Linked DNA regions of Mus musculus. The protein of the gene in region 1 interacts with the protein of each later gene in a pairwise test. Links are inferred from orthologs where the notes say so. Each region holds a gene or a part of one and is shown in the gene's direction. Other genes may lie near its edges. The genes, in order: Card9, Cdca7l, Tasor2, 9330159F19Rik, Pak7, Tceanc and Meox2.

What was found.
Region 2: the proteins of Card9 (region 1) and Cdca7l interact in binary tests that used the Homo sapiens proteins (3 or more experiments, as listed by UniProt). The link is inferred for Mus musculus from reciprocal best matches to the Homo sapiens genes CARD9 and CDCA7L.
Region 3: the proteins of Card9 (region 1) and Tasor2 interact in binary tests that used the Homo sapiens proteins (3 or more experiments, as listed by UniProt). The two-hybrid records come from large-scale screens. The link is inferred for Mus musculus from reciprocal best matches to the Homo sapiens genes CARD9 and TASOR2.
Region 4: the proteins of Card9 (region 1) and 9330159F19Rik interact in a two-hybrid assay, tested with the Homo sapiens proteins (2 studies listed by BioGRID and IntAct). The two-hybrid records come from large-scale screens. The link is inferred for Mus musculus from reciprocal best matches to the Homo sapiens genes CARD9 and KIAA0408.
Region 5: the proteins of Card9 (region 1) and Pak7 interact in binary tests that used the Homo sapiens proteins (3 or more experiments, as listed by UniProt). The two-hybrid records come from large-scale screens. The link is inferred for Mus musculus from reciprocal best matches to the Homo sapiens genes CARD9 and PAK5.
Region 6: the proteins of Card9 (region 1) and Tceanc interact in binary tests that used the Homo sapiens proteins (3 or more experiments, as listed by UniProt). The two-hybrid records come from large-scale screens. The link is inferred for Mus musculus from reciprocal best matches to the Homo sapiens genes CARD9 and TCEANC.
Region 7: the proteins of Card9 (region 1) and Meox2 interact in binary tests that used the Homo sapiens proteins (3 or more experiments, as listed by UniProt). The two-hybrid records come from large-scale screens. The link is inferred for Mus musculus from reciprocal best matches to the Homo sapiens genes CARD9 and MEOX2.

Annotation. Positions count from the first base shown.
Region 1 is NC_000068.7:26,354,704-26,358,116, reverse strand, and holds part of Card9 (caspase recruitment domain-containing protein 9), read left to right. Parts: intron 1-33; exon of another isoform or gene 34-101; coding exon 102-406; intron 407-472; coding exon 473-652; intron 653-788; coding exon 789-932; intron 933-1,233; coding exon 1,234-1,359; intron 1,360-2,592; coding exon 2,593-2,784; intron 2,785-3,193; coding exon of another isoform or gene 3,194-3,220; exon of another isoform or gene 3,221-3,245; coding exon 3,246-3,287; intron 3,288-3,413. UniProt on the Homo sapiens protein: Adapter protein that plays a key role in innate immune response against fungi by forming signaling complexes downstream of C-type lectin receptors.
Region 2 is NC_000078.6:117,871,161-117,874,962, forward strand, and holds part of Cdca7l (cell division cycle-associated 7-like protein), read left to right. Parts: intron 1-923; coding exon 924-1,277; intron 1,278-2,560; coding exon 2,561-2,632; intron 2,633-2,735; coding exon 2,736-2,906; intron 2,907-3,523; coding exon 3,524-3,646; intron 3,647-3,802. UniProt on the Homo sapiens protein: Plays a role in transcriptional regulation as a repressor that inhibits monoamine oxidase A (MAOA) activity and gene expression by binding to the promoter.
Region 3 is NC_000079.6:3,569,330-3,573,131, reverse strand, and holds part of Tasor2 (protein TASOR 2), read left to right. Parts: intron 1-2,694; coding exon 2,695-2,820; intron 2,821-3,490; coding exon 3,491-3,644; intron 3,645-3,802.
Region 4 is NC_000076.6:29,221,623-29,225,424, forward strand, and holds part of 9330159F19Rik (uncharacterized protein KIAA0408 homolog), read left to right. Parts: intron 1-163; coding exon 164-508; intron 509-598; coding exon 599-678; intron 679-2,612; coding exon 2,613-3,792; intron 3,793-3,802.
Region 5 is NC_000068.7:136,384,894-136,389,303, reverse strand, and holds the start of Pak7 (serine/threonine-protein kinase PAK 5), read left to right. Parts: upstream 1-1,336; 5' UTR 1,337-1,610; coding exon of another isoform or gene 1,611-1,650; intron 1,651-4,410.
Region 6 is NC_000086.7:166,507,644-166,512,245, reverse strand, and holds the start of Tceanc (transcription elongation factor A N-terminal and central domain-containing protein), read left to right. Parts: upstream 1-1,767; 5' UTR 1,768-1,953; exon of another isoform or gene 1,954-3,106; intron 3,107-3,239; 5' UTR 3,240-3,340; intron 3,341-4,499; 5' UTR 4,500-4,537; intron 4,538-4,602.
Region 7 is NC_000078.6:37,106,865-37,111,457, forward strand, and holds the start of Meox2 (homeobox protein MOX-2), read left to right. Parts: upstream 1-1,675; 5' UTR 1,676-1,966; coding exon 1,967-2,480; intron 2,481-4,593. UniProt on the Homo sapiens protein: Mesodermal transcription factor that plays a key role in somitogenesis and somitogenesis and limb muscle differentiation. Required during limb development for normal appendicular muscle formation and for the normal regulation of myogenic genes.

The DNA of each region.
Region 1 (3,413 bases):
TCTGTCCCCCCTAGTCTTCAAATGCACACTTACGGACAAGGACCAGCACGGGGTCTGCAGGTGACAACCGCAGGCTCCATCTGACACCGCATGGTCCCCAGATGCATCAGGGGAGTCTGGCCTGACGCAGCTGCTGATGACAGAGGTCATGAAGCTGCAGAAGAAGGTTCAGGACCTGACGGCCCTTCTGAGCTCCAAGGACGACTTCATCAAGGAGCTGAGGGTAAAGGACAGCCTACTGCGCAAGCACCAGGAGCGGGTGCAGCGGCTCAAGGAGGAGTGTGAGCTGAGCAGTGCGGAGCTGAAGCGCTGCAAGGACGAGAACTATGAGCTGGCCATGTGCCTGGCACATCTGAGTGAAGAGAAGGGCGCAGCACTCATGCGGAACCGTGACCTGCAGCTTGAGGTAATCACTTTCTCCACCTGCAGGGGGTGGCCTGGAGGAGGCTGCAGCTGACTGGGCCACCCACAGGTGGACCGGCTCAGGCACAGCCTCATGAAGGCCGAGGATGACTGCAAGGTGGAGCGCAAACACACACTGAAGCTCAGGCACGCCATGGAGCAGCGGCCTAGTCAGGAGCTGCTGTGGGAACTACAGCAGGAAAAGGACTTGCTGCAGGCCCGGGTGCAGGAGCTGCAGGTCTCTGTGCAGGTAGGGAGACCCACCAGTGCACATCAGGCCTCATGCCTGCAGGGGCTTGAAGCTGGGCACACCAGATGGTACAACTGCAGTGGCCGTGCCATTGTGGGCCTCCTCAGCCAGGCTTGTTGCCTTCTGACACCTCCAGGAGGGTAAGCTAGACAGGAATAGTCCATACATTCAAGTGCTGGAGGAGGACTGGCGTCAAGCACTGCAGGAACACCAGAAGCAGGTCAGCACCATCTTCTCCCTACGGAAGGACCTCCGCCAGGCTGAGACCCTCCGGGCCCGGGTGAGAGACCAGGGCAGACAAGCAATGCCCACTGGGATCCTGGATGGTGGGGTCTGGGACCTGGCTCACTGTCAATTCGTACAGTACACAGTAGTGCCGTGTCACCCTTTGGGCTTACAGTGTGACCAATGGTGGCTGAGGCCATGGTCTTAGACTAGGTTAGTCTTGGATTAGATTGGACTGGAACTCCAGTGCCTTCCTCATTATCCCAGACCTTGTGTGCCCTGGAGCTGTTGCTCTGAGTCCAGCCCAGGGGGAGGAGGAGGGAGGGGAGGGTGAGGCTGAGTGGTGCTTCCTGTAGTGCACGGAAGAAAAGGAGATGTTCGAGCTGCAGTGCCTGGCCTTGCGCAAGGATGCCAAGATGTACAAGGACCGTATCGAGGCTATCCTGCTGCAGATGGAGGAGGTCTCCATTGAGAGGGACCAGGTAGGTGCCACACTTGTGTTCAGAAACGGAGAACCAGGAGTGTTGGGGTATTGGTGCGGCAGACACTGGAGCAGTAGTCAAAGTGTTTTGTTTTGTTTTGTTTTTTTTATTTATGCTCAGGGTAACTTGGCAGTGTTGGAAGACAGAACCCGGGACTGCTTGTACAAATGCATCAAAGTCTACCTTATTCAAAGGAGGAGCTTATGCGGGAGGAGAACACAGCAGTCCCTGTGGTGGGGGTGGGGGTGGGGTAAGGAGGTGGGAGACTTCAGTAGGGAGAGGAAGCTGCTAGGTGCATAGGCTGTGGGTAGGGAGCATTTGGTACAAGAACCTGTGGTGGCTCCCGGGCAGAGGCAGTAGTAGCAACTCACACCTGCAATCCCAGCAGTTGGAGGTTGAGACAAAATAATTACTGTGAATTTAAGGGCAGCCTGATTTACCATGAATTCCAAGCCAGTTTGGGGTCCAATGTGAGACCCTGTCTCAAAAAGCCACCACTAACAATAACAAAAGCGGTAGCAGCTGAGCCATGTTTGGTAGTACATGGCAGTCCCAGCATGCTGGTCCCCGGATTTAGAGGTAAAGACAGGAGAGTCAGAGATTCAAGGCCAACCTCAGCTAACAGTAAATAGGAGGCCACCTTGGGATAATGAAACTGTCTTCCAAGAAACAAAAGAAAAAAACCTTTGTGTTCATTTAAGAACAGCCATGAATCCTGGTTTGTTTGTTTTTTTTTTTGTTTGTTTGTTTTTGTTTTGTTTTTTAATGTCAAGCTGCATCCAGAATTTATAAAATATGTCACATAGGTGGGACAGAAACACCCACTGGCTATCTGCTGGGGATGTAGGACTTCTCAGTTGGGCTTCCTATGAACTACTGAGCATTAATCACGGGTTTTTTTGGCTGCTTCTCTGAAGTGTTTTGTTTTGTTGTCTGAGACAGTGTCTCATGTAATCCAATCTTGCCTTCAACTCAATATATGTGCAAAGATGGCCTTAAACTATTGATCCCACTTCTGCCTCCCCAGTGCTAAGAATCTGGTCATTTCCAACTCCGCCCAGGGTTTGTTCATGTACACTGAGAGCCCTGACTGCTTTGAGAATCCCTCCAGTTCAGCAGTTCCAGCCATACACCAGGGTGGTTGATGTCCAGCCAGGACCTGAACTGCCAAATGAGAGCCAAGAGCATCAACCAGGTCCTTTGCTGAGGGTGTGCCCTCTGCTATTCCTACAGGCTATGGCCTCCAGGGAAGAGCTGCATGCACAGTGTACCCAAAGCTTTCAGGACAAAGATAAGCTTCGAAAGCTGGTTCGAGAGCTGGGTGAGAAGGCAGATGAGCTGCAGCTACAGCTGTTCCAGACGGAGAGCCGATTACTGGCCGCCGAGGGCAGACTCAAGCAGCAGCAATTGGACATGCTCATCCTGGTAGGCCTCTGTGTCTGCTGTCGCCAGGGTGGGCTGGGCAGTGAGAGAGCTGGGGAGGATGTGAAGTCAAGGCAGGATTCCAAGAGGAACCATCAGCCTGGAAGCAGCCCTATCACTAACCTGCCATGACTGCTGCCCTGCTTGTGGCCTCGGAAAATGCCTGGCCTTCCTAAATCCCAGTTTTCCTCATTAGAGCTCTTCATGGCGAAGTGACAGCCACAGATGTAACTCAAGGTTATCCACACCACTCCAATGACTGCAGCCTTGACCAAGGAGTAACCTTCAGGTGGCTTGGAGTGTAGTGTTAAGAAAGACATATTCTGGGCATATCTAGAAACATGTGCAGGGCCTCCCTAGAGGATGGAGCCTGGATGGGGCTCTTACCATGCCCTACACACCCCATACCCAGGTGCTTGGAACCCCTACAGCCCACTGACCAACTCCCTTTTCTGTGGCCACAGAGCTCTGACTTGGAAGACAGTTCACCCAGGAACTCCCAGGAGGTGAGTGTGGACATAGAGTGGTCCTTCCCTGGCCTTCAACCTCTACCTGACCTCACACTCATCTCCCACATGGTCCTGTCCCCTTAAACTGGGCTGTCCCTTTTCTCTCATTTTGGGTTGGATTCA
Region 2 (3,802 bases), on another chromosome or scaffold:
AAAACAAAGAGGAGTTTATCAATGTTTTCGTTAATGTGCCCTTTCTGTCCCAAGCATCACATGCATTAAGTGTTTCTTTATAATTTTTTAAATTTATATTTTTAACTGATTCAAAAAAATACCATGAGGCAGATGTTTTAAAAGAGGTTAACTGTTTAATGCTAACTGGAAAATAGAATATTTATCTGAAAGTAGATACTACCACTTCCTTTGCTGGTAAGGTGAGTTTAGTTTATGCTGTTTGATGTCATTAGCTTTTATACAACCTTGGACACATACCTGCATAGGGCCAGTTGGTAGTGATGATGGCTTTCCCTATCCCTCACCTTTCCTCAGGCATCTCTTGGGGCATGTAAGTCCTCGTAGTCAGCTGTCTCACCCACTCTGCCTGGGCCGATGCTCCTGCTCAGACATCCCACTGTGCCCAGTGTTTTTTCTCAGATGTCTTAGATTGTCATCAGCAAGACACTAAGATCTTCCAAGACTTGATGGGTTTCATGTCTGGGTGACTTCTTTAACTACTAGTAGTTTTTAAGCTCAGTGATACCTAGTTAAGGAGTTTTTGTTTCTAGTGAAGGAAAATAAATTGCTCCCAAAGCCCCTTAGATTCTATATACTGCAACACACACACACACAATTCAGCGTAGGCCCACTCAGATTTGGTTAGAGAATGCATTGAGGACAGATTGTATTAATGAGCTTTCCATCACTAGAACAGAATACCAGGGTTCACTGTGTGTGACTCACAGCTTGGAGGTTTCCATGTATCATCCGTTGGCTCTGTTGCTCCGAATCTGGTGAGGAAGGAACGTGTGGTGAAGCAAATTCTGACCTGCATTCCCACCTAGAACAGTTTTAAACACAGTTGCCTGGTCTAGTGTTGGTACAGATCGTTTTTATCCTTCTTTCTCCTTGTCCCTTAGCTCATGGAGTCGGAGCTGAGTGACAGTGACAAAGCATACCCTGTGATGAATGATGCGGAGGAAGATGATGAAGAGGAGGCTGCACCTAGAAGGGGCAGGTCCACAAGAAGAAGCAGTTTCGGTCTTCGGGTAGCCTTTCAGTTCCCCACCAAAAAATTGGCAAGAACACCAGATAAAGATAGCTCACACTTGCTGGACAGTAAGACGGATCTTAGAAGAAAGAAGAGCTCCAGACAGCCCAAGGGAAAGGAGGACTCTGCTTCTGATGCCGAGGATGAGTCCAGAGCTGAGAGCCAAGAGAATTCGGATGCTCTGCTGAAAAGGGCCATGAACATCAAAGAGAACAAGGCTATGGTATGCTCTTGCAGCAGCAGCTGGGACCATAGCCAGCTGCCCCAAGGGTTGCTGACACAGCTTTGCTCTCTGGAGAGAAAGTATATCCTGGGCACATTTGTTACACGATTAGCTCTGGTTTGGGGATGGAAAGACTCAAGAACCGTTTATCCCTGCTGTGCATGGTTGAGCAGGCTAAGTTTAAGTTGGCAGAGGCACTGGAGAATAGATAAGCTGACCAGCTGCACTGTCCCCAGCAGAAAAGAGGAGCTGGGCTGTCATTGAGCCCAGGGAGAATTACGGTGGGCAGGTGGTGGCTTCTGTCTGAAAGCCGTTCCTTCAGAGACATCATCTGAAGGAATGAGAGATGGCTACCATTGAAGCAGCCGCTGCCATGTTCTAATTCAGTTATGCCTTGGCTAGTGGTTAGTTCAGCCTAGCACAATCTAGAGCAACCTTTGTTACATGTATTTGGGTTTTCTATGTGTGGACAGTAACCTCAGCCCAGTTATTGAAAGTAATTCTTCCTAATTTTACACTGGCAAAATTAAAAAGAAATTCTACCAGTCATAAATTCTTTCCTCCTCTTTGGTGGCTTTTTAAATGCCATCCTTTAAAAAAATGCACAATATAGTGATACTTTATACACAGACCTACACCTAAGAGAACACTCTTGTCTGTTTGTGTTTATCTGTATGTGTTTGTTCTTAGTGGTCTCACGTTTACATGAATCTAAAAAGAAAATCCAGAGGAAAGAGCCTGGTTGGTTGGTGTTAGGTCTTTGGCGATAGTGACAGATGTCTGAAGGTAGGAATTTTTGAGGTATAGATGCAGGGAGACCAGACTTGTCTTGATCCTAATCCTCTTGCCTCTGCATCCTGGTGCTCAGACTACAGCATGTACCATGACTTAAGCCCCAGCAAGTGTTTTGGTTGATCTGGGAGTTCTGAGGGTCACCCAGCTGATTGGACATGCTGGGTTTGATTTTAAGGTTTGTAAAATGTGCTTCAGGTCACACTGCTATGATAGTGGTGAAGTTGGGACCTGATGCTCCTGGCCCCAAACGTGTCAAGACAAACATATCTTCGTTGTGTTCTATTGTTTCTGTATATAAGGAAGGGGTATGATGTTGACTTGGATGAACAATGAATGGTGTCCTCCTCTTACTCAGGAGGTGAAGTCTTACATGAGACAGATTTATGGACGCTATATAGGTAGTTCAGAGAGATTTAAGAGGTGTTGGCCCCAGAACTGTCTCCTTGACTGATGTCAGACCCCCCCCCCCCTTTCTTTCTGAACCTTAGCTTGCTCAGTTGTTGGCGGAATTGAATTCGGTGCCAGATTTCTTCCCTGTTCGGACACCACCTTCGGCTTCTGTAAGTGAAACTCTTGGTTTCTTAGACTGGCCCTGCTTCTGAGAACCCATAGCTTTCTGTTTAAGGGGAACCTAGTTACATATGTCTGTGTTCTTGGTTTTAGAGGAGGCGAACACCACGACGGGCCTTCTCAGAGGGACAGATCACACGGCGCATGAACCCAACCCGGAGTGCACGACCCCCTGAAAAGTTTGCTCTGGAGAACTTCACCTTCTCAGCCACCAAGCTTACTGAAGAGCTTTACAGTTTCAGAAGAAGAAAGACAATCAGTGGGGTAATTACTGACTAATAAGCAAACGGGCCTCAAGTGCAAGTATTTCATTATGCTAGGGCTGGCTCTGGTGTAGTCTTGAGTCAGCAGGCTTCCAGCAGTTGAAAACTTGAGTTTCCACCATGTTCCTGTGAGAGCATGGGTTGAGAAGACCCTTGGGCTGGCTAAGCTGCAGATAACTTAAGAGTCCTTTGTCTAAAATGAGCCTGAGGAGCTTGGGGGACTCAGGGACTTGCCCAGCATGCAGGAGGCCCTGGCTTTGATCCAACTCTACCAGCAAAGCCAAGCCAGCTTTGTGGTTGTGTACTCTGAAAGATGCAAGAGTTTCTCCTTGTCTGCTTCAGGAGTGGCTGTTGGGGAAGAGGGAGGAACTTGGGGGCTGCCCCCTATGTGGGCAGGCTGTTTACTTCCTTGTCTTCTCCAAGTTTATAGCTCCTCCATCAATGCAGTATTGCTCTCCCAAGGGAGTGTGGGTTGGGGCAGGAACCCAGTAAATGACCATACAGACAAAGGACACTCATTAGACTTTGCATCTCTAAGCACGTTTAAGATTTTCATTCTGATTTTCAGTGTGTAGATGTGTGACAGGTACTCCTGTTTTATTTTGTTTTTTTCTTCAGGGGAAATGCCAGACGTATAGACGTCATCGGATATCTTCTTTCCGCTCAGTGAAAGACATCACTGAGGAAGACTTGGAAAACATTGCCATAACTGTGCGTGATAAAGTCTATGATAAAGTGCTTGTAAGTGACATCTTCAGGAAAGTGTGCATCACTGGTAACCTCCAACACACTGGCATTCAAAATCTGACATCTCGCCTTCTGTCCCTGTGCTGTCCTCCTAAGTCTTGCTCTGAGCTGTGTGGTCAAGGATCCAATGTACCAGGGGGAAAACGCAGA
Region 3 (3,802 bases), on another chromosome or scaffold:
GAGTCAGCATATGAAGGCCTGATCACAGCACTCATTCAAAAAGCTGTGTATGTGGTCTGTGATCCAAACACTTGTGAATTCCTGGGGCTTGCTGACCAGCCATTCTAGTCAAATAGCTCTGGGATAGGTAGAAAACCCTATATCAATATGGTAGAGATCAATAGAAGACACCTGAATACCAACCTTGGTGCCCACATTCATTTTTACACAGAACTCACACACCAAATATCCTTTTCATTGATGATACACTGGAGGGAAGTAGGTAATAAATTCTGAAATGAAGGCATGTCTGTCATGGTAACATTTTGGGAAAAGTAATTTTTATACTAATTCAGATATATTCTACAAAGGGCTTAGTGATGCAGACAAAAACAAGGCAGCAAAAAACAAAATATGTAAAACAGAGGGAACAGAAGGGACAAGAACCCAGCTTGCAAGGATGACAGGCTGGTCAACATCACTGGACATAGGTTACTGTCAAGAGATGACTTTGGAGACACATGAAAGAACCATGCTAGGAAAGGACTCACTAATATTTTTTTAAAGGTATTAGCAGGGATCGTACAGATGGCCCAGCAGTTATAATACTCGGCTATTCTTTTTTTTGTTTGCTTCCTTGCTTTGTTTTTTGTTTTTTTGTTTTTTTTTTTTTGGGGGGGTTTTTTTCGAGAAAGGGTTTCTCTGTGCAGTCCTGGCTGTCCTGGAACTCACTCTGTGGACCAGGCTGGCCTCGAACTCAGAAATCTGCCTGCCTCTGCCTCCCAAGTGCTGGGATCAAAGGCGTGCGCCACCACACCCGGCTATACTTGGCTATTCTTGCAGAGGGCCTGGAGTTGGTTCCCAGCACCCACCCAGTAACTCATAACTGCCCACCGGCTTTTGAATGGTTTGAAAATAATGAAAATATTTCACCATGAGCCCACTGTTTATAATAAAGAGTAACATGTTTGTACAAAGGTACAATTTTCAAGTGAAGAAATGAACACATACTAAAATTAACTTGAGATTTATATGTGTTCAAGAGCACAATGTGTGTTGGGTGTGGTAGCAGTTGGCTGACTGAGATGGGAGAATTACAGATGGTTTGAAGCCTGACTCTCACAGCACAGAGTTCTATAAGACTTGGAAACATTCTGAATAACTCTGGCAAGTTGTGAACTATTCTTTAGTGTTGGGATGCAGGACTGTTTGTAAGATGAGGATCTGCAAACAGTGACAGATCAATCTTAAATATTTCAGTAGACTATTAAAAGAACTTGATTAAAAATTATATTGTCCCTTTTGCGTGATAATAAAATAGTCAGTTTGCCTGTTTGGGAGATCCAAAGCAGACAAAGTAATACATCACAAAGACAATAAACATTCTGACTGCACGTGGAGTATAGTTGGGGTGTCCAATGGCAAGCCGTAATCCTTCATGCAAAAGCATTACATAAGAGGCGTAAGGGAGGATGGGGCTAAGGAAAGTGCATTACCCTTTTATTCAGATATGGACAGCCAAGGAACAATTAACTCTTCAAGTTGGTTCTCATTACTGGTATGTTGCTAAAATTCTCGGTATATAGTAAACGTAACAGCATTATGTAAACACCTAGCAAACCTGTCCAGTCTCACTCCCTTGAATGTGAAACTTCATGTATGCGTACTATTTTGGACTTCTTTTTCTTTTTTTCTTTTTTTGGTTTTTCTAGACAGGGTTTCTCTGTATACCCCTGGCTGTCCTGGAACTCACTCTGTAGACCAGGCTGGCCTCAAACTTAGAAATTCGCCTGCCTCTGCCTCCCGAGTGCTGGGATTAAAGGCGTGCGCCACCACGCCTGGCTAAGGACTTTTTCTTTAAAGCAGCCTATGATATTTTATAAACTGCTTTTATCACTAAAATGAACTTCTTGCTTGGGCTGCTGAGATGGCTCAGTAAGAAAAGAGACCGGACACCACACCTAACAACCTGAGTTGGAGCCCCAGGACCCAGGTGGTAGGAGAGAACCAAATCCTGAAAGTTACCACCTGACCTCCACATGCAGTCCATGGCATGTGTGTGTGCATCCGTTTACATATATACACAAAAACACTAATAATTGAACTAAAAAGAGAAATCCAGGGGGCTGGAGAGGTGGCTCACAACCATCTGTAATGGGGTCTGATGGTAATGTAATGGGCCCTCTTCTGGTGTGTCTGAATACAGCCACACTGTACTTATATACATAAAATAAATTTTTAAAAAATCTTAAAAAAAAAAAACTGAAATCCAGTTCATAATTATGTGTGTGTTTATTTAGTAATAAGACCAGTAGCTATTTGCGCTACCTTAGAAATAGGATTTCCTTTTTTTAAACATATTGTTAAATATTTTTGTCTGCTTCGTATTGAGATGTGTTCCTAAGTAGCTGAGGCTGGCCTAGAACTCATAATTCTTCCTCAGTCTCCCAAGTGCCAAAAATATATACATCACTATGCCCAGCTGGTGGCTTGATTTTAATATATAAAAATAGTTGTACCTGGGCATAGTGGCACATACTTTTAATCCCAGCACTTGGAGGCATAGACAGCTGGATCTCTGAATTTGAGGCCAGCCTGGCCTACATAGTACATTCCAGGGCAGCCAAGGTTATAGAGAGAGACTTTTTGTCTCTAGAAACAAAAAGTTCTGTACAAGTATCCTTTTTAAATAACAGCTGTTTGTAAATTTTTCAGAGCATTCTAAAGAAAGGAGGCCATATAGAAATTGAACTTCTGGATTTCTGTCAAGCGTTTCACAGAGAAAATGAGACACTATTAGTTATCATTAAAAATGAAGACATCATTTCACATTTGCATCAAGTAAGTTTTGTGTTCTAGGCACTGACACTGTTCTGTAGTATCATAAGTCATCATTGCTATTCTGTGTAGAGGTATAGCCGACAGACTTCCATTGATCCTTTAGTGGGAAGATAATCCCTGAGAGTACAGGGTGGAACTCTATAGAATCATGCAGGTTCTGTAGGGCAGGTTAATAGTGTGTTAACTGAGGGAGAACTATGAAAAGAGGTACTTCATGTCTGACTGTAAGAAAATCATGCTTTGAAAGGACTTCTGTAATGTTTACCTGCTGGTTGACAAATAGTTGTTTGCCCAAGAAGCACTTTGTGGACAGTGGATAGGTACATATTTCTATTGTCAGTAGGCAGTGACATGAGCCTTGTGGGTTTGGCACCACAGGTAAGCTGGAAGCAGAGTGAGTTTGAATGACCTAGCTATTTATAGGTCCCCTGAACTTCAGTCACGTTCTTCTCTCATGAACCATTTCTAAAGTCCTCTTTTTAATTAATTTTGGTGAAGAAATGGCCACTAATGAGAAGGTCAGAACCACTCTTTGTTTCAAAGTTGTCGGTTAGTGATCTTGGCTGAAGATACCTTATTTTCAGCTGTTCAGGGTCATTGAAATCCATGGGAATGTTAATTGTTGCCTGCATGTGCCTTTCCTTATGGAAGTCCCTTTATGTCATAACAGATTCCTTCTCTACTGAAGCTAAAGCATTTCCCCAGTGTCGTCTTTGCTGGAGTGGACAGCCCTGAAGACATTGTAAATGAAACCTACCAAGAGCTGTTTCGATCAGGCGGCTTTGTGGTATCAGATGATGTCATACTAGAAAGTTTAACATTAGGTTAGTCTTTAATTTTGAAATCTAATTAGTTCAGTTTCTCTTCTTCCAGTGACATACTGTTTCATCAAAAAGAAATCACTTACTGTATATTGAGGGCTTAATTTGTGCCAATTGCTGCACTACATGCTTTTACTATAGTAATTCAATTGATGGACATT
Region 4 (3,802 bases), on another chromosome or scaffold:
TTTCCAAGTCACACAGGCAGGTAGATCTTTAAGAGTTTGAAGCCACTCTGGACTTCAGAATTTGTTCTATGCTACCCAGGGCTACAAAGTGAGAATGCCTTTAAGAGAATTCATTGCTCAAGTAAATTAGGAAAAATAAGTTTTTAATTTTTAATTTTTACAGCTTTGCCAGGAAGTAAAGCTTCAGAGGAAGATGAACATGAATGAATATTCTAAGGTCATTGATCTTTGCCGTGATCAAGATAAAATGGAATTTCCCCCAAATCACCTCAACTCGGCACAATGCAAATTAAGAGTGCTGAATTACCGAGATGATCCAGAAAAGGAAAAGAAAACAGAAAGGAATTTCCTTGGGGAAGAAAGTCAAGGGTCTCCAAAACAAAACATACACACAGAAACCAAAGTGGAGTTTTGGAATCCTTTGGCCACAGACAGGAAGGCATGTGAGACCTGGGCTGGTGAGAACACTTCTAAGGAGAGCAAAGATTTTTCTGTCGCCCTTAACACAGTAAGTAAGATGGGGTCAGCCGGGAGCTATTTCTAAAGAAGCATTTCAGCACGCTAACAAAAGCTCTCTTTTATGTGCTATGCTATGAAGGCTCTTGAAGAACTTGCAAAAGTTAGTGAAGAATTGTGCACCTTTCAAGAGGAAATCCAAAAGCATTCTAACCACAGAAGGTAGGCTGGCTAACACATATGATCTCTGTAGACCAGAGAATAGAAAAGAATTCTGGTTTTATTTTATGAATTTACACTGACTCATCATGTATATCTTAGCTCATGATCCTTAAAAGTCATCTTCCAGTACTTTTCATAACTTAAGTATTAGGAATATTGTATTGAGCCGGTGCGGTGGCGCACGCCTTTAATCCCAGCACTCGGGAGGCAGAGGCAGGCGGATTTCTGAGTACGAGGCCAGCCTGGTCTACAAAGTGAGTTTCGGGACAGCCAGGACTATACAGAGAAACACTGTCTTGAAAAAGAAAAAAAAACAAAAATAAGGAATAGTGTATTGTATTCTTTCAGTGTTTAGGCAAAGTAGACAGTCTGTACAAAATGACTGTGTATCCTCTACTGAAGTTCTTTCTCCATCAGAGTTTTGACCAGAGGGGGAATATACAAATAGACAAACCCAGTTAAATTGGCTTAAACTGTGACAGCTTTAACAATGTGGTGTTTGAACAATTTGAGATGTTCTATTTAAGCACTTTAAAGCTGGGTCATTTATTTCTCAACAGTGATGTGGATATGACATAAGCAAATGTACATTTCAAAATAACACATTATATGTCTACATGGCCCAATCTCTTGTATTAGGTCAGAATCACTATGAAAGCTTAAACTAAATTCTAGCTAAGTTAAAAAAATAATAATTTAGAATTATGTGCATACTAAATATGTATTATTCTTTATCAATAATTAGCTCATTGAGAAATCTGATATTCTCTTAGAGTGAGGTTCCTTATTATTATTTAGCTGTCTGGAAATCGCGAATTTCTGTGCTGACTTGCAGTAGAGTTTGTTAGCCACTGGGCACTGCCCCCTCTCTGCCCATTGAGCCTTCCTGTTGTCATTTGTTGGCATGTGCTTATTGTACATCATTATAAGTTGTCATAGAAGCTTTTTATAAGTTGTACAGTATGACTTATTTTACTTATGTGATTTTCTGATTTGTTAGTCCATATTGTTGCTCTGTTTGTGTTTTATACAGAGACTTGATATCTTTCATTTACAAATCAAATTAGTTCAAAGTTCTCATGGTGAAAACAGAACATGAAGTTGGGTGAGTAGGGAGATAGGGAAGATCTGGGAGGGGAGTTGAGGGAAGATCAAAGAATATGAGCAAATTATGTTGTTTGAAATTCTCCAAAAAAAAAAAAAAGCCAAAAACATTGAAATGTAAAGTGTTCACAGTCATCCCTATGGCCTCCAGAAAGCATTTCAGAGCCTCAATGTGTGATTTAAAGAGACTGTTCTAAGATTTGCTGCAGTCTAGTATTTCTGTGTCATTCATTATCACTTTCTTTGCTCAGTAGGCACACTTTATCAGAGCTCATTTCTTTGGTTACTAAAATATAATCTTATTTTCCTTTAAAGTTCAAATGCACATTGCATTTGGAGTTACCTAGAACTCATGATAATGTTATTTATATCCCAAGGAGAAAGTCTAAAGAGAAATTATGAGTAGGGAATAGAAGTTGCATAGGGAAAGGGGAAGAAAAGCTATATAGCAGAAGAAAGCCTAGAAATGGGAATGTCAAGAGCAGAAACTCAAGGACTACATTGTCTAGTTTGAGTCTAGCATAACTTTCAGATTATAGGGAAAATGAGGGATGATAAAATTTGGTGAATAAAATTTGGGTTAGATCCATGAATGTAACACTGACAACTTTATCCTACAATAAGGAGGACTTGCAGTAAGTGGATTTAGAATGTGTGTGTGTGTGTGTGTGTGTGTGTGTGTGTGTGTGTTACATAACCACATCACCTATATATCGTAGTATTTCTATACAGCATCACTTATATATCACATAGCATTACTTATATATCACATATCACAAAGCTCATTTTGAAAAGAAAATTGTCACTAATGCACCTTGACTTATGTTTAGGATGAAATCAGATCCTGTTCTCCAGGAAATGCCAAAGGCAATCCCTGTGCCTCCTCAGGACCACTTGATCAGCAAAGGTCAGGGCATTCTTCCAACCAATTTGGAGAAAGAAATGCAGAAAAAGAATCTGAGCTGTGCCTATGGACTCCAAAGCAATTCTATGAACAACTGTGGAATTGGTACAACTGGTTTACAAAGAGGCGAAACTCCGCCAACTCCCCCTCCAAGAAGTACCTCTCGAAATCTCCCCAGCTCATATTCTGAACAAGCCCAAGAAAGACTGAAGGAACATTTATACCACAGGTGGGTGGCCCATGAGATTCAAGACAAAACAGATAACAATCCTCATTTCCTCTTGAGGCAGTCTCCGTTGTTTCCACAAGAAGGCAAGAGTTTGAAAGATAGTACCATGTTTTCCTCTTGGACACCAGAAGTCAAAATAGATAGAAATCTTCCAGGTAACAAAGACACTGGACTTAATTTGTGGTCATGTGACACTATATTAGGTACAAGAGAGAGCCCTTCCAGGCCGTCTCAAAAAACCAGTTTTACCTCCAGTGGAGCAAAATTTGAAAAGGTATTTCCAGATAACCCTACGAAATTGCATCTTGATCTTCATGTGAAAAATGACTTTCTTCCCTCAGTGACACAGAGGGACCCAGTTAGAATTTACGACTGCAATTGTGAACCAACTCCAAGGAATGAAAAGCTGGCTGCAAAGATTGACGAGTTTAACAGAACTGTTTTTAGAACAGACAGAAGTTGTCAAGCAATACAGCAAAGTGACATCTATACAAAATCGCCTGACAATCTCAATTCCTGTGATATCTCCACTGCTCAGAAAGCTTACCTATCAGAAGTTGACAGTGGGACCAGTGTTCTGAAAGCTAGTGACAATGTGTCTGTGCCCATGGAAAATGTGTTCAGTGATCCCGAAAAAATATACTCGGCAGACCTGGTCAATCAAACGCAGACACGTGAGAGCCCCAGCAGCTATCAGCTTATGCTCCATGAGCATGATTGGAGATCAAGCAATTTTTCTAGCCGGCCAAGATCAGCGGATCCCAGATCAAATTACGGTGTTGTGGAAAAGCTGCTGAAAACCTATGAGACAGAGACAAGGTCTGCACTGCAAAACTCAAAAGGCTACAGGAATAACTGGACCAAATGCGGTTCTGATGTAAGTGGTT
Region 5 (4,410 bases), about 110 Mb from region 1:
GTGACCATCTATCTGTTCTGTGATCTATTTTTTAAAGATTTATTTTTATGTGTATATATGTGTCTGGATGCTTCTTTGTGTACCAGGTGGAAAAAGGCACCACTGATACCAGAGGAGTGTGTGAGATCCACTGGAGTCAGAGTCACGTACAGCTCGGACCCACCCTATACAACTGAACCTGGGACCTCTGGATGGGCAACATGAGTTCTTAACAGCTGTGGCAATATCTTTAGCACCAGCTCCTGCCATGATTCTGTTTTGATATATAAGTTACTTCAGTGAAAGTAGTGTGTGAACAGATAAGCCACGGGGACAGGAGATGATAAGCATCTACTATTCACTAGCAAACTGGCCCTGTTTTATAACCGACTTATTCAGTTATAGGATCAGACACTATATTCTCATAAGGACAATCTAGAGATCTCTGAGGATGAAGAAGGATGTGGCTCTCTCAAAACCAAGATTAAAGTCTCTTGGTTGGTTTTGTGAATTGATTGGTTTCATGTGGGCAGTGACTAATCTCAATATTACCGATACCTCCTGTGGTCTTTTGCTCTCAAAAGACCAGTCAGTCTCAACTGTCAAGCCCAGCCTTGACATTACATCGAACCTCTCAGGTTTTGTCCCAGGCTCAGAGAAGACAGGTAGACAGTCAGGATAGACTGGTTCAGGCTTGAATTGGACAACAGGTCAACAACAGGTCAACTGACTGAGCACGAGTTTCCTAGTCTCAAGTATCAAAGCGATTGTGAATTGATCCAAGAGCCCATCGTCTCCGAAACTCCTAATTCTAGATCAAACTAATGGTTTTATGCTGTCTTCAGTGTGTGCCCTACAAAGCCTCTTTCCAGGAAAGGCATGACATCCCAGGGGACATCCTCCCTTGAACCGCTGCTATCATCAAAAGCTGAAGGTAACTCCTTAGGCTGATAAGTCCATTGCTGATTAAAGACTCCATGACCAATTAGAGGTTATAGAAGATGTTTCTGGATTCTTGCACCTCCTGACCTTTCAGAGGACCAGCCGAATGGCACGGGGACTTTCAGGACCAGGCAGTTGAATCCAAATCTGTATTTTAAATCAAAGGCTCATTAAAGTTTGCGAAGCACAGGACCAGGTGATGCTAAAGAGACTAGCTAGCATACTGATGTAGTGCGGCTTTGCAAAGGTCCTATAGAAAATTTGGACAAACTGGGATGTTCAGGGAGGGGTATGCGGGAGTAGCCCGCAGGGGGATGGTAGAAGGAAAGTGTGATCCGATTGGCTGTTTTCTCCAGCTCGGGCGTGCAGACACTCCCTCCACACTCCCCCTTTCACCCCCCTCAATTGCTACAGCTTTCCTACAGCGGGCTGCTCCTAAAACCCGGAGCAGCTGAGTGGTCTCAGCGGACAGTCCTCCTAGGGGCGAAGCCAGGCGGCTTGGGCATGCTCAGTAGCTGGGAGAGGTTTGGGAGGAGAGTAAAAAGCTTTGACTCTGCCCCCACCCCCTCCTCTAGCCCCCGCCCCCCTTGCCCCTTCCCAGCCGTAGTAGTTCCCTGGCGTGCGCCCGTGGAGAGCAGGAACATGGCGCTTGGAGCGATATAACAGATGTAGCAGCAGCGGAGAAGCAGATGAGGTACCGCGACTTCTCTGCTGACAGCCAGCCACCAGGTAGGCAGGAGCACCGGGCAGGTCGGCTTATGGGTAGCGGCTCCAGAAGGGGCGCTTGCCAAGATGCGCACGGTTGCTACACCGGGCATCTGGCTTTGCCTAGAGAGGATGCGAAAGGAGACCTCTATGACAGCACAATTGATTGTGCATCTCCTAGGAGATGCCAAAGGCTGGGGACCTCTGAGAATGGGCAAGGGATCCAGGGTCCGCCCACTCCCCAACCCCCAATCTTTGCGATATCATCCAGCTTGGGCTCTTCACCGGTCAAATAAAGGATAGCGCTCTTATGCTAGGATGGAGGGCGTAGGAGATCACCCTGGATGCCAGCTCTAGGAGTCTGCTGGTACCCCGAAAGGCTAGCAAGCCCAGCAGCAGTTCTTTGTGTATGCACTCGCGCACGCCCTGCCGGTGATACGACAGTGCCTGCTGCTCCCAGGGAGTGCTGGATGCATTGCCAGGGCAGGGTTCCCATATGGTTTTTGTCTTTTAGCAGGTGTGGACCACCAGATGCAATAGCGGAACCTTTATGGGACTGTGTTTTCCTTTGTTGTTTGTCTCTGTTCGCTTAGTGGGTTGCAATGGATTGGGAAAGAACTTCTGCTTGTGAACATTGGTGGACAGAATGTGGAAGAGAATATCACTTCCAAACTCTGGTTAAAATTCTGTACAATGTCAGTCTCCTAGAGGATAAACTTGGAAAGTCTCAGGACTGTCAAGTGTCCAGTTTAGGGCACAAATGTGAGCATCCGTTTTGAAACCGAGTGTGTCTGGAGCTTTCCATTGTGATAGGGTAGAAGTTAATTTGCCAGCATTCATATCTCAATTAAGGGAGCCCTAACCTTTCAAAGAACTGAACAGATCTTTTAAATATTAGAGTAGTAAAGAAAAAAATGTCTTGGCCAATAATTGATAACGACTTGGAAAACTGGATACACTTCTGGGGAAATAGGTACTTCACAAAACATCAGAGACCCTCTTGTGGCATTTGGTGTAAAGGCAGCATCTTTAATTTACAGATGGACACATTACTCCCTGAAGAAGTCCCTCCTACACAAGCCTTCTTAAAGTTGACATTCTGCAACAACAGATGTGACACCTTACAGTTGTATCTGTTATGATTAGCAGCATAGCCCCCTGAGAGGGAGGAAAGGTAAATTTAGAACACACCTTCATCCCCTGTTTTATCTTTTCAGGCTGGGCATCTGTCTGTGAATATGAAGTTTAGATACTTTCCTCTGCACTTACACTATTTATTCTTATGATCTCCTTAGGTGGCAAGAATGAGTCAGTATTGTGATAATGAAACAGAGACTGCAGGAGGGAAATGAATTTAAGTAGAGTAAAGCTATAAGTGTCCAATCTGATAACACCTTGACTTTGAATACACGTGTGCAAAGCAGAACTTCTAATGAAAGCTGTAGAAGCTAATGGCAAGTTCATTGACAATACTTGTAGTAGAATAAACTTCGTGTTCCTCTGTGAATAAGAGATTGATTGTACTCAGTCCTTGCAACTTATCATTTAATTAACAAACGTGAGTTTTGATTGTAGGCATTGAAAGCCGAGGTTGCCAATGCCTTTCCTACATCCTCAGAATATGCTGCAATGGACAGGCACCAGAGACAGATGTTCTGGAATACAGTGTCATTTTAGTGATGAGATAAAGCTAAATTTGAACTCTGGTTCCTCCGTATTTAGGTGTGGGATTTTGTGGAAGTGATTTAATGTATCAGCAACAAAGACTTGTGATTCACAAAGCAAAGCCCACATAAATGGATAGATGTAGACATTAATAATAATACAAAGAAACTGGGCATGGGGAAATCTCTTTGAGAAGGACATGTATGTGTTTGGAACCCATGTTATATGTATTTGCTATGCAAGTCAAATTCAATTTACTTTTACTGAAATACTCCAAATTGTTTTATTTCTTAGCACTGACATAGCCATACACCCCCAACTTGGTAGCTTAAAGAAGTAGAAATTTATTGATGCAGATCTGGGTATTTTCTGTCTAATATCTCAGTGTTAGCATGGCAATCCTCTGATGCTCTTAGGAGAAGGTGATTCTTATAGTCTTAGACATACCTTACCCCAATCACGTTATTCTGTTTCTACCTTCATGTCCATGTGTTCTCCTCTCTGTGTCTGTTCTCCTGTCCATGTTTCAGTCTTTATGTAAGGACACTGTTCCTATATCATTTAGAGCTAACTATAGCCTTGTCTTAATTCAATTACAACTGCAAAGATCAGACTTGTAAAGTAGGTCACATGGACAAGTTCAGGGTTGTCATTGAGTTTAGGGGAGAGAAAATTTAACTTACTTTACTAACTTTTCTAATAACAATGATAGGATCAATACTATGCCATCAAGTTTCAGAATATGAAGAATAGTATGGGTTCAAAAACCCTGCTGGCATGGGATATTTAATGTAACTAACTTATCTGAATTTTGTGTTCCCAAGTGTGACAGTGAAGGGAAGGGTGATAGACACGTCACCATGAGTCACTTACATGAAAACTGAAACAAAGTGGGACTTAGGCTTTCTATACGTGCTGAGGAATTTCATACGTCTTCTCCCTTTTGGGCTATATTACTAAGTCAAAACACATCATCATCAACAACACCTACAACATAACAGCAAAAAAATGAAAATCCTACACCTTTTCTTCTTTTTAATATATTTATTTTTATTTATAGATATACATTTTATTAGCTCCTTGAGACTTTCTTATATGCACATAATGTATTTTCTTCTT
Region 6 (4,602 bases), on another chromosome or scaffold:
ACCCCTACTGTCAGATCTGCAGCCAAAATCCCATTGGGTTAGAGCCTAGCTTGGTTTCTGTTGCTGGGATAAACACAGTGGTCAAATACAACTCAGGGAGGAAAGGATTTATTTCATCTGACAGGCTACAGTCCATAATTGAAGGAACTCAGGGCAGGAACTGGAAGCAGGAACCATGGAGGAATGCTACTTACTGCCTTGCTCCCAAGTACACATCAACTACCCTTTTGTATACAGCCCAGGCCTAAGTACTAAGGATAATATGGCCTTCCCACAGAGGGCTGAGCCCGCCTACATTAATTAGAAATAGAGAAAAATGCCACACAGATGTGTACAATTTTTCAATTGAGACTCCTTCTTTCCAGGTGTGTCAAGTTGACAAGCAAGACCTTGCAGTTTTGTAAATCAATTATTTCCGAGAACTTCAACACCAAATGGTGTTACTTTCAGAGTGATAAACCATAGCAAAAAACAAAAAAAAAAAAAAACAAAAAAAAACCAAAAACTTCTAGACTGGGCCTAGTGATACACACCCATAGTATCAGCACTTGGAGAGCAAGAAGATTATCCTAGTTTGAGGACAGCCTGGACTACATAGTTGTAGACCAGGCTAGACTACAGTGTGAGAATCTTGTGTTTAAACCAAACCAAACCCAAACCAAGATTGCTTTGTAATCATACCCTAATACTAACCGTTCAAAACAGAAAAATAATCAGGCATCCCTTATCCTGATCAGTGTGAGTTCCTTGTCCTCCCTCTGCTGAGGTAAAATCTCTTACATTCATGACCAGATCACCCTGCTGTATCCCTGCTATGAACAGATCCAGTACACAACACTGAGGGGTTGCTTCCTTAAATCTTTTCCTGAATTGTTTTGGCATTGGAGGTCAAAGGAGTCTGCCACATTTTCTAGTTCAATTATCACTGTGGTTTTAATCCTTGAAGGCAGACCATGTTCACACATACACTCAGGTTTCTTGTAACTAATTACTGAATGGTTACTACTTCCTTTCATTCTTGTGATGCATGTTATATGCTTGTTGGACTAATTACTGTTAGGCATGACAGTAATTATGGCTTGCCTTTTTGCTGCCTGGTTTGTTAGTTGAGAGAGTCTTACTATGTAACCCTAGCTGGTCAGAAACTTATGGACCTTCTCCCATCTCTGCCTCTGGAGCGCTAGTATTATATGCCACCAGGTTTAGCCATTTTTATATTGATTTAAAAAAAAAAACCCAACCATTTATTATTACAGACCATCACTGTTAGCCATTTATATTTTATTTGATTGTTCTTATGGAGGGTTTTACATTTGTTTATTTTTATTTATTTAGGAAGGCGAGTACCGGGTCCAGCCTGTTTAGTTTTGCCCCAGGCTGTCCTCGAACTCGGGATCCTCCGGTCTCTGTACTTTAGTCTTCAGCCTTTGCCTACTGGGGTCCATCACCACAGCCAGCCTGTTTTTATTTTTGTCCCATCTGTTTTACTGGTTTGACGGAAACTAAAAAGAGTAAGCGCATCAACAAACGTTGCCACTGAAACGCAGCAGCCGGGTTAGTTTCACTTCGGGCCTTAGCTCCTCTCTCAAGGGACCACTCTGCGAGGCCCGCGGCCGCTCTGCGCAGGCGCCAAGTCCAAAGCACCTTAGCGTCCAATCCCACGCCCACGTTGGCTCGCCGGAACCTTAGGACTGGTGCAGGCTCTGTCGTCCGGCCCCAAGAAACGGAAGTTCCCTCCAGGAGGAGGCGGCACCGCCCACTGGAGGGCGGCGCCTGCGCTTCTGGGCGGGCGGTGCTGCGGCCGCTAGGGCAGTGACCGAGCATCTCCGATGGCGGCGTTCCGCCATTTCCGTTACCTCGGCCCCCGCGGAAGGGCTAACTCCCGGGTCCAGTGGAAGGCAATCCCGGCTCGCAGGGGCGCTCTGGTGCTCCCCGTGCCCAGGCTGCTCGAAGGTTGATTTCCTCCTCCCTTTAGGTGCTGTCATTGGAGCGGGCCGGAAGGCGCGCCGCCATGGCTGTACGGCCTCAGGGCCGTCCCCCGGGGTGGATTTCTGCAGGCTTTGTTTAGTAGTCAACCCCACCCACAGGAATCTCTCTGGGCGGGCCGGTTCCTCTCCCTGTCCCTTCCCCCGGGATCCTAACGTGGCTGCCTAAAAACAACGCCCCGCCAGCGTCTCGTGTCCTAGCCCCCCAGCCCCCCATGGCCCGTCCATTCCCTTCTGAGCCAGGGCCTTGAAGCTTGACCGATAAGTTTAGCCTGGAGCTAGAAAATTTCTCTTTTTTTCCCCTCCTGGATGTTGAGAGAGATTTAAAGACTGCTGGTCTGTTCCCTAAGCCTCTGGAAAATTTCACAGTAACTTTCCTGTGCTTTTTCTTCACGTTTGGACGATTTTAGTGCAGATGTGTGTATGCCCTTCCTATAATTGCATATTCCCAGGCGTCTGCATGCATTCAGGCAACACATGGTAGGGCCGACTCTTGCTGTCACTATAAAAGGTTTTGTATGTGCACACACATTGTACACACACACACATATACATACTCATACACACACTGGTAAATGGTAAAATGTACACTCATATATGAACTACAACTGCCATGAAATGTGTCTGATCTGGATTGGAGTGTGTTCGAGTGTAAAGCACAGCAGACTTTTGTTTTTGAGAATTAACACAAAAAGGAATTAAAATACCCTTTTATCAGATTTTGAAAGGACAGTATTGGGGCGAAGCTTAGGTGTAGCTCAGTAGTAGAGCACATACTTTAATCTGCCTAAGGCCCTGGGTATGAACTCTGCCACTGCATTTTAAAGGAAAAATATTTTAGCTAAGTAAAACTAGAATTAATTCCAACAAATTTTAACATACTATCACACATTTAAAAAATATCTTTGTGGCTTGAAATCTTTATATGAGATAGCATTGCTCTACAAAGGGTGCTTTCAAACAGTACCCTGTGGCCAAACACAGACTGCCCACATTCTCTTTTGAAATACAGTCTCTTGTAGCCCTGGCTGGCCTCTTTCTGACCACACTGGCTTTATGAGGTGTGCATAGAGGGGGGTGGGCTTGAGGAGGGTGCAAACTCAGTGCCCTGTGCATGTTAGGTAAGTGCTCCACGAACTGAGCCTCATCTTCAGACCCCCTCCCTCAACACACACACTTTAAAAAATAATTTGTGCTAATCAACTTAGATGTCTTCCTTAATTACTGTCCTCCCCCCTCCCTTTTTTGAGACAGGGTCTGACACTGAACCTGAAGCTCACCAGTTCAGCTAGACTGCCTGGCCAGTGAACTCCAAAGACTGACCTGTCTCTCCCTTCCCGTTGCTGGAATTACAGGTGTGCACCATAAGCCTGGCTTTTTATGTAGATGCTGGGGATCAAGACTCAGGTCCTCATTGCACAGCAAGCAGTTTACCACCTGAGCCATCTTCCCAGTTCCAGCCTGCCTTATTAGGTTTAATTGTATATAGATGTGTGGGTATATGCATGTGAGTGCCAGTCCTACAGGAGGCCAAAGGCATCAGGTTTTCCTAAAGCTGGGTTATAAGCACTTGTGAACTACCCAGTATAGGGTGGGAACTAAAGGGGATGTAGGGGAAGGAGGCAGGAGGGAGGATAGCCCAAGCCCGGCCAGCGTTCCTCCTATGCTCTGGGCAGGCAGACGCCGTAAGGCTGCCAGAAGCTTTCCACTCAGCCCGGGTGGGCATTTAAGCCACTGACCCCACTTGACAGGGGGTGGGGTGGGGTGGACAAGGGGCAGCCCCTGAAACCAGGGCCCCCAGGACAACACCCTGTTGCCCCGGCGTTATGGGAGCAAGGGCTGAAGGAAGAGAGGTAAGGGCTGAAGGAAGAGAGGTTCCCACACAGGTGAGAGTAAGTGTAGGGGGCCTTGATGAGCAGAGACAGTCTATGGTTTTAGAGCTTTATTGTAGAAAGGCAGGGGGAAAGAGAAAAGAAAGGCTAGAGAATAAGAGTAAGAGAGTGAGAGGAGAGGAGAGAAGAGTAAGGGGAGTAAGAGGAAGAGAGCGAGGTGGAGCCAAACAGCTCCTCTTATGGTTTGCTGTAATCTTTACTATTGCTAGGTAACTGGGAGGAGTTTAGCCTGAAGGTCAGAAGCTTGGGACATTGTCTACATGACTACTAGCCATGCTTCTCCTGTGGGGGTTGAGGGGAAAGTAACTTCGACAGGAGCCAGGGTCCAGGAGACACGAGGGAACGCCTTCCATCCCATGTAGGTGGGAATTACCACCACTGGGTCCCGGGGTTCAACATCTAGCCTCAACTGGAAACCAGGCTGTCTGTGCATAGCCCAGTGCCCCACAGTGTAGGTGCTGGAAACTGAACCTGGCTCCTCTAAGATAGCAGTACACAACTGCTTAACCATCACTCCAGCCCCATTCAGTATTTGCTATCTGTTTGTTCTGCTGCAAAAGTAATAGAGTTAAATAGTCCCTGCACCAGAAGTCTAAAGTATTTCCTATCTGTCCTTTTACAGAAAGTATTTGCTGGCCTCCTGTCCTGGAAAAATAGCTGGTATGTAGATATTAAATCTTTTTTAATGTTTTTTTTTTTAAGACAAAGTCTCACTATAAAGCTCA
Region 7 (4,593 bases), on another chromosome or scaffold:
AAAGCAGTGCTTACAAATCTTGGAATTCCTGATCAACCCCCACTCCACCCCATCTCTAAGTTGTGCAAAACAATTCGACTTTTCACACGGATGTTAAAGTTTGTTTGGAAGTTCCTTTTCTGGAGAACCTCTTAAAATAAAGGGTAACAGACTGAAGATGGCAGAAGGAGCGGCAGAGAGAAGGGTTCTGCCTTGGGGACATTCCTCCAAAATTCATCAATACCTTTTCCTAATTTAAACCAGATGTCTAGTTCAGGTTGCTGTACTCATTAATCCCATTAGCAATTTCAAAGACTTGGCCATCATCTTCTGGTCACCCAGACAATAAACATATGGCAGTTAACCATAGTGGCACACTCCAAGTCCTGAACACCCTAGGCTACTGCAGACATCCCCTTGGCAGACACTTCCTAGATAGGAACAGGCTTTCCTGCAGCCCACTCTCCCAAGCTTGTTGTGGGTTAAGGACAGGACTTCCAGTAGATTCTGTGGCCGCCCAAGCTAATTGCTGTGTCAACCCCAGCCCCTGCTCTCACAAATTCACTGGTGGCAAGGTGTGCAGTTAGTTCATTTCCAGGAGCACAGGCTGTAAACCTGGGGGAAATGAACCATGATAGCAGGGTCCACGCTGAGGGAATGTTAAGTTTGCTATCTGCTTAAAACAGAAAGGTGGTGAGGAATGGAATGTATGCAAGGAGCATTAGCTCTGTGAGCTAAAGAGAGATTTCATTTCTCAAAGGATGGGAGCGGGCTGTGAATTGGCTCCTGCAGGGTTAAGCTAGCTAGGAAGGGTGAAGCTGGGAGCAAGTTAGACTTGCTCATTTGACATTTTTTCGGGTTATTCTTGACCCCCCCCCTCCCAATTTCCTCGGTGAGCAAATGGTGAGAAAATTTCGCGAACTGGACTGGTAAAGAGAAGTAGGGGTGGGAAGAGGGTCAGAAAAAGAAGGAAGGGGGACACCACTTGGAGCAACACTTGTGTGTCGCCAAGGCGCCAGAGCCTACATCCACCTCTGTGTCGCGCACACCCCATTGTATATCTGTCCTTTCTGCACTCAGAGTAGCACTGTGCTAGCCTTGGTGCACAGCTCTACAACCTCCGCCCTGGCTCTAGGTTTTCTAACAATCTATTCTCAGATACCTAAAAGAGAATAAACCTAATGTGTTTACGCTGGAACCGTGAGTGGCCTCTGAGTTTGAAAAGCTCGACAGACTAGGCTCTTCTTCTCTTGAAAGTTCTCTTGAAAGTTCTCTGTGGTCTGCAAAGTCAGGGAGTAGTCAGGGAGCTCCTGCAGGTGACCCCAACCCCCACCAAGGCTGAGAGATCTAGGTTCCAAGAGCAGTGAGCTACTCAGAGACACTGTGTGCTGGCTTAGGGAAGCTGAGTGCCTCTGCGTCTGGCCATGGGAACCTATGGGACAGATTGCGGTGGCCCGGAGCGACTGAGGCTCTGGGAGCACCACTAGCTGTGGTGGAAGCTCCCAGGGCCCGACGGGCGGGCGTTGGGCAGCGGCTCCTGTCCTGCCAGCAATGGGAACTGGAAATGAGAGAGCACGGTGGCGCTGACTGAGCGGGAGTTTTGGAGGGAGTTTGCATGTGGTCAGCGCTGGGCTCCTAAGCCAGCCCCCAGCTCACATTACACTCTATTTATAACCTCTCAGAGCCATTTCCCCCTGAAAGCAGTTCTCTGGGACCACCTTCTTTTGGCTTCCACCTCTCCCACACTTGACATCTGAGCAGCTGCGAAGGAAGCTCCTCCAGGTCCTAGTGTTTATACGTGCAGGAGACTGGCCGCTAAGGCTCAGGACTGGGATTAGCCGGCTCTGCTCAAATGCAAACGCGCGCGGCTTTTACTTTTGGAGTGAGTGGGGGAAAGTCTTAGGATTTCCAGTGAAAAGTGACAGCGCTTGGTGGACATTCGGACCGTCCGTGAAGTCTTCTGCTTGGAAGCCGAAACTTGCATGCCATGGAACACCCCCTCTTTGGCTGCCTGCGCAGCCCCCACGCCACAGCGCAAGGCTTGCACCCCTTCTCCCAGTCTTCTCTGGCCCTCCATGGAAGATCTGACCACATGTCCTACCCCGAACTCTCCACATCTTCCTCGTCTTGCATAATCGCGGGATACCCCAACGAGGAGGGCATGTTTGCCAGCCAGCATCACAGGGGGCACCACCACCACCACCACCATCACCATCACCACCACCAGCAGCAGCAGCACCAGGCTCTGCAAAGCAACTGGCACCTCCCGCAGATGTCCTCTCCACCAAGCGCGGCCCGGCACAGCCTGTGCCTGCAGCCTGATTCGGGAGGGCCCCCGGAGCTGGGAAGCAGCCCTCCGGTCCTGTGTTCCAACTCATCTAGCCTGGGCTCCAGCACCCCTACCGGGGCCGCGTGCGCACCAGGGGATTATGGCCGTCAAGCGCTGTCACCCGCAGACGTAGAGAAGAGAAGTGGCAGCAAAAGGAAAAGCGACAGCTCAGGTGAGTGCGGGCAAAGCAACCCTGGGGAGAGTGCGCTCTGGGCTAGGAAGATGCGGGGAGGTGTGGGATGTTTCTCATAGAAAGACAAACTGTGAAGCTGCTAGCCTTTCCTCGCTCTGGTGGGCGAGTTCATCCATGGAGCGTCCGTCCTGTAATTCAGGAGCACGTGTTTCACTGAAGTTAATATATCTACATCCAGCCGTTCAAAGCCCTCCAAGATCGCAAATCAGTTTTCCAGAAGTGGTGAAGAAAGAGCAAGTGACACTATGCAAAATCGGTTAAGGGAGCGTGGCGGGTCCCTCCACGGGTTGGGAGGGGTGTGCCCATTGGGATGCTGCATCCGCTGGGCATGCATGCCTGCGTGCGTGTGTGCGTGCATGCGGGTTTCCTTGACTTTTCCCTTCCAATTCCCAACTCTGAACAACTCGACTTTTCCTATCCTTAACTGGGTTTCCAAATTATTGCGCAATGCCTTGAACTTTAACTGGATTTGACCAAATACGAGAAAAAGAAAAGGAAAGAAAAGAAAAGAAAAGAAAAGAAAAGAAGAGGAGGAAAAGAAAAAAGGAAGAAAACGGAAAAGGAAAGAAAAAGATAAGGAAAAATTAAAGAAAGAAAAAGAACAGAAACCTAAAACTTTTTTTTTAATATTTTTGCTTTCAGAGTTCCTTAAATAGCACCTTTCTTAAAATGATATTTAAAAAACAAACAACCCCTCCCCAAACATTCTATTTATTTGGCGAAAAAGTAATTATCTAGTAATCTAGAAGTGTTTAAGGAATACCTCTGAAAACTTTGAATAAAGAGTATTCTTATAGTAATTACACTCATATGGTGCTAACCTGGTTTGGGGGGGGGGGGGGGACGGGGACGGGAAACAAGCAAAAAGTCCAAATCAACCAACCAACCAAAACAAAATGTTTGAACTTCGACTGTGGAAAATAAAAGCCTTCATCAATTGAGTAGTGCTTTGAGATGCAGTGGAGAAAGTGGACAGATAACAGTCCTGACAGTGCTGGAAGAAGATGCAGGGAAGGTGTGGGTAACTTGAGCAGTCCTACAAAAGGGGAGCCTCCCAGAAGAATTCAGGGGCCTGGAAGTCCAATAGCCAGTGCATCCTGACAGCACAGAGAAACTAAAAATTTCCAGGAAACACAACAAAGCCCTTAAATACATTCCTCATTGTAAATGTTCTCTCTCTCTCTCTCTCTCTCTCTCTCTCTCTCTCTCTCTCTCTCTCTCTCTCCTTCCTTCCTTCCTTCCTTCCTTCTTTCCTTTCTTTCTTTCCTTCTTTTTTTCTTTATTGAATCTTCTATGTAGTTACAAGGCAACCTGGATACAGATTTAGAAAGACGTCACTTAACTAGTAAAATGTTTACATATATTACGTTTTCTGTGCTAGTGTCTCGAGAGAACATATAATTCTAGGCAATAGTTTGAAGAATTGAAAAATAATAGCATTTTAAACATTTTAGGCAAGGTGTTCTGCAGTGTAGGGCAGTAAGGGCTGTGTATTTTGTAATGTGTTGAAAGATGATAGAAATTTTTCTTGACCTCGGTGTGGGGTGACTCCTTGCTTCCCAGCCTCACTATTGAACCTGTAATTTTTCAGGTCCTGGGTGAACGATTAATGATGCTTCATCATGATTAGTTATGTCTAAGAACTCGGTCATCGCTGTTATTCTGTTTACTGGTTATCTCTAACTGTATGTGAAATCCTAAGATACCAAAAAGGTTCCTAAGAAGGCATCAGAACGCACTGGGTTTCCCCAGATTGGGCATTTATGAGCAGAAATGCATGGATTGCTTTGGCAGGTTGCTATCTACTTCAGGGAGGACCAGAAGCTCGGATTCCGTGTTTTCTTTCCGCAAGGGGGAAACTGCGCTGCTTCTTAGCTGAACCAATGCCCTAAAGATTATTTGCGCACACGAAGGAATTTTTTTTTTTTTTCAGGCACAAGTTATTTTTGGTTGGGGAAACAGGGAGAGTGAGACTAAAAACTGACTTCCTTAGTTTATTTTAACAAAAATGGTTTTAATATTGACTAACACTGGTTTCCATCACTTTTATCAGGGGCAAATAAGCACATAGCAAAGAGAGGCTTGTTTTTGT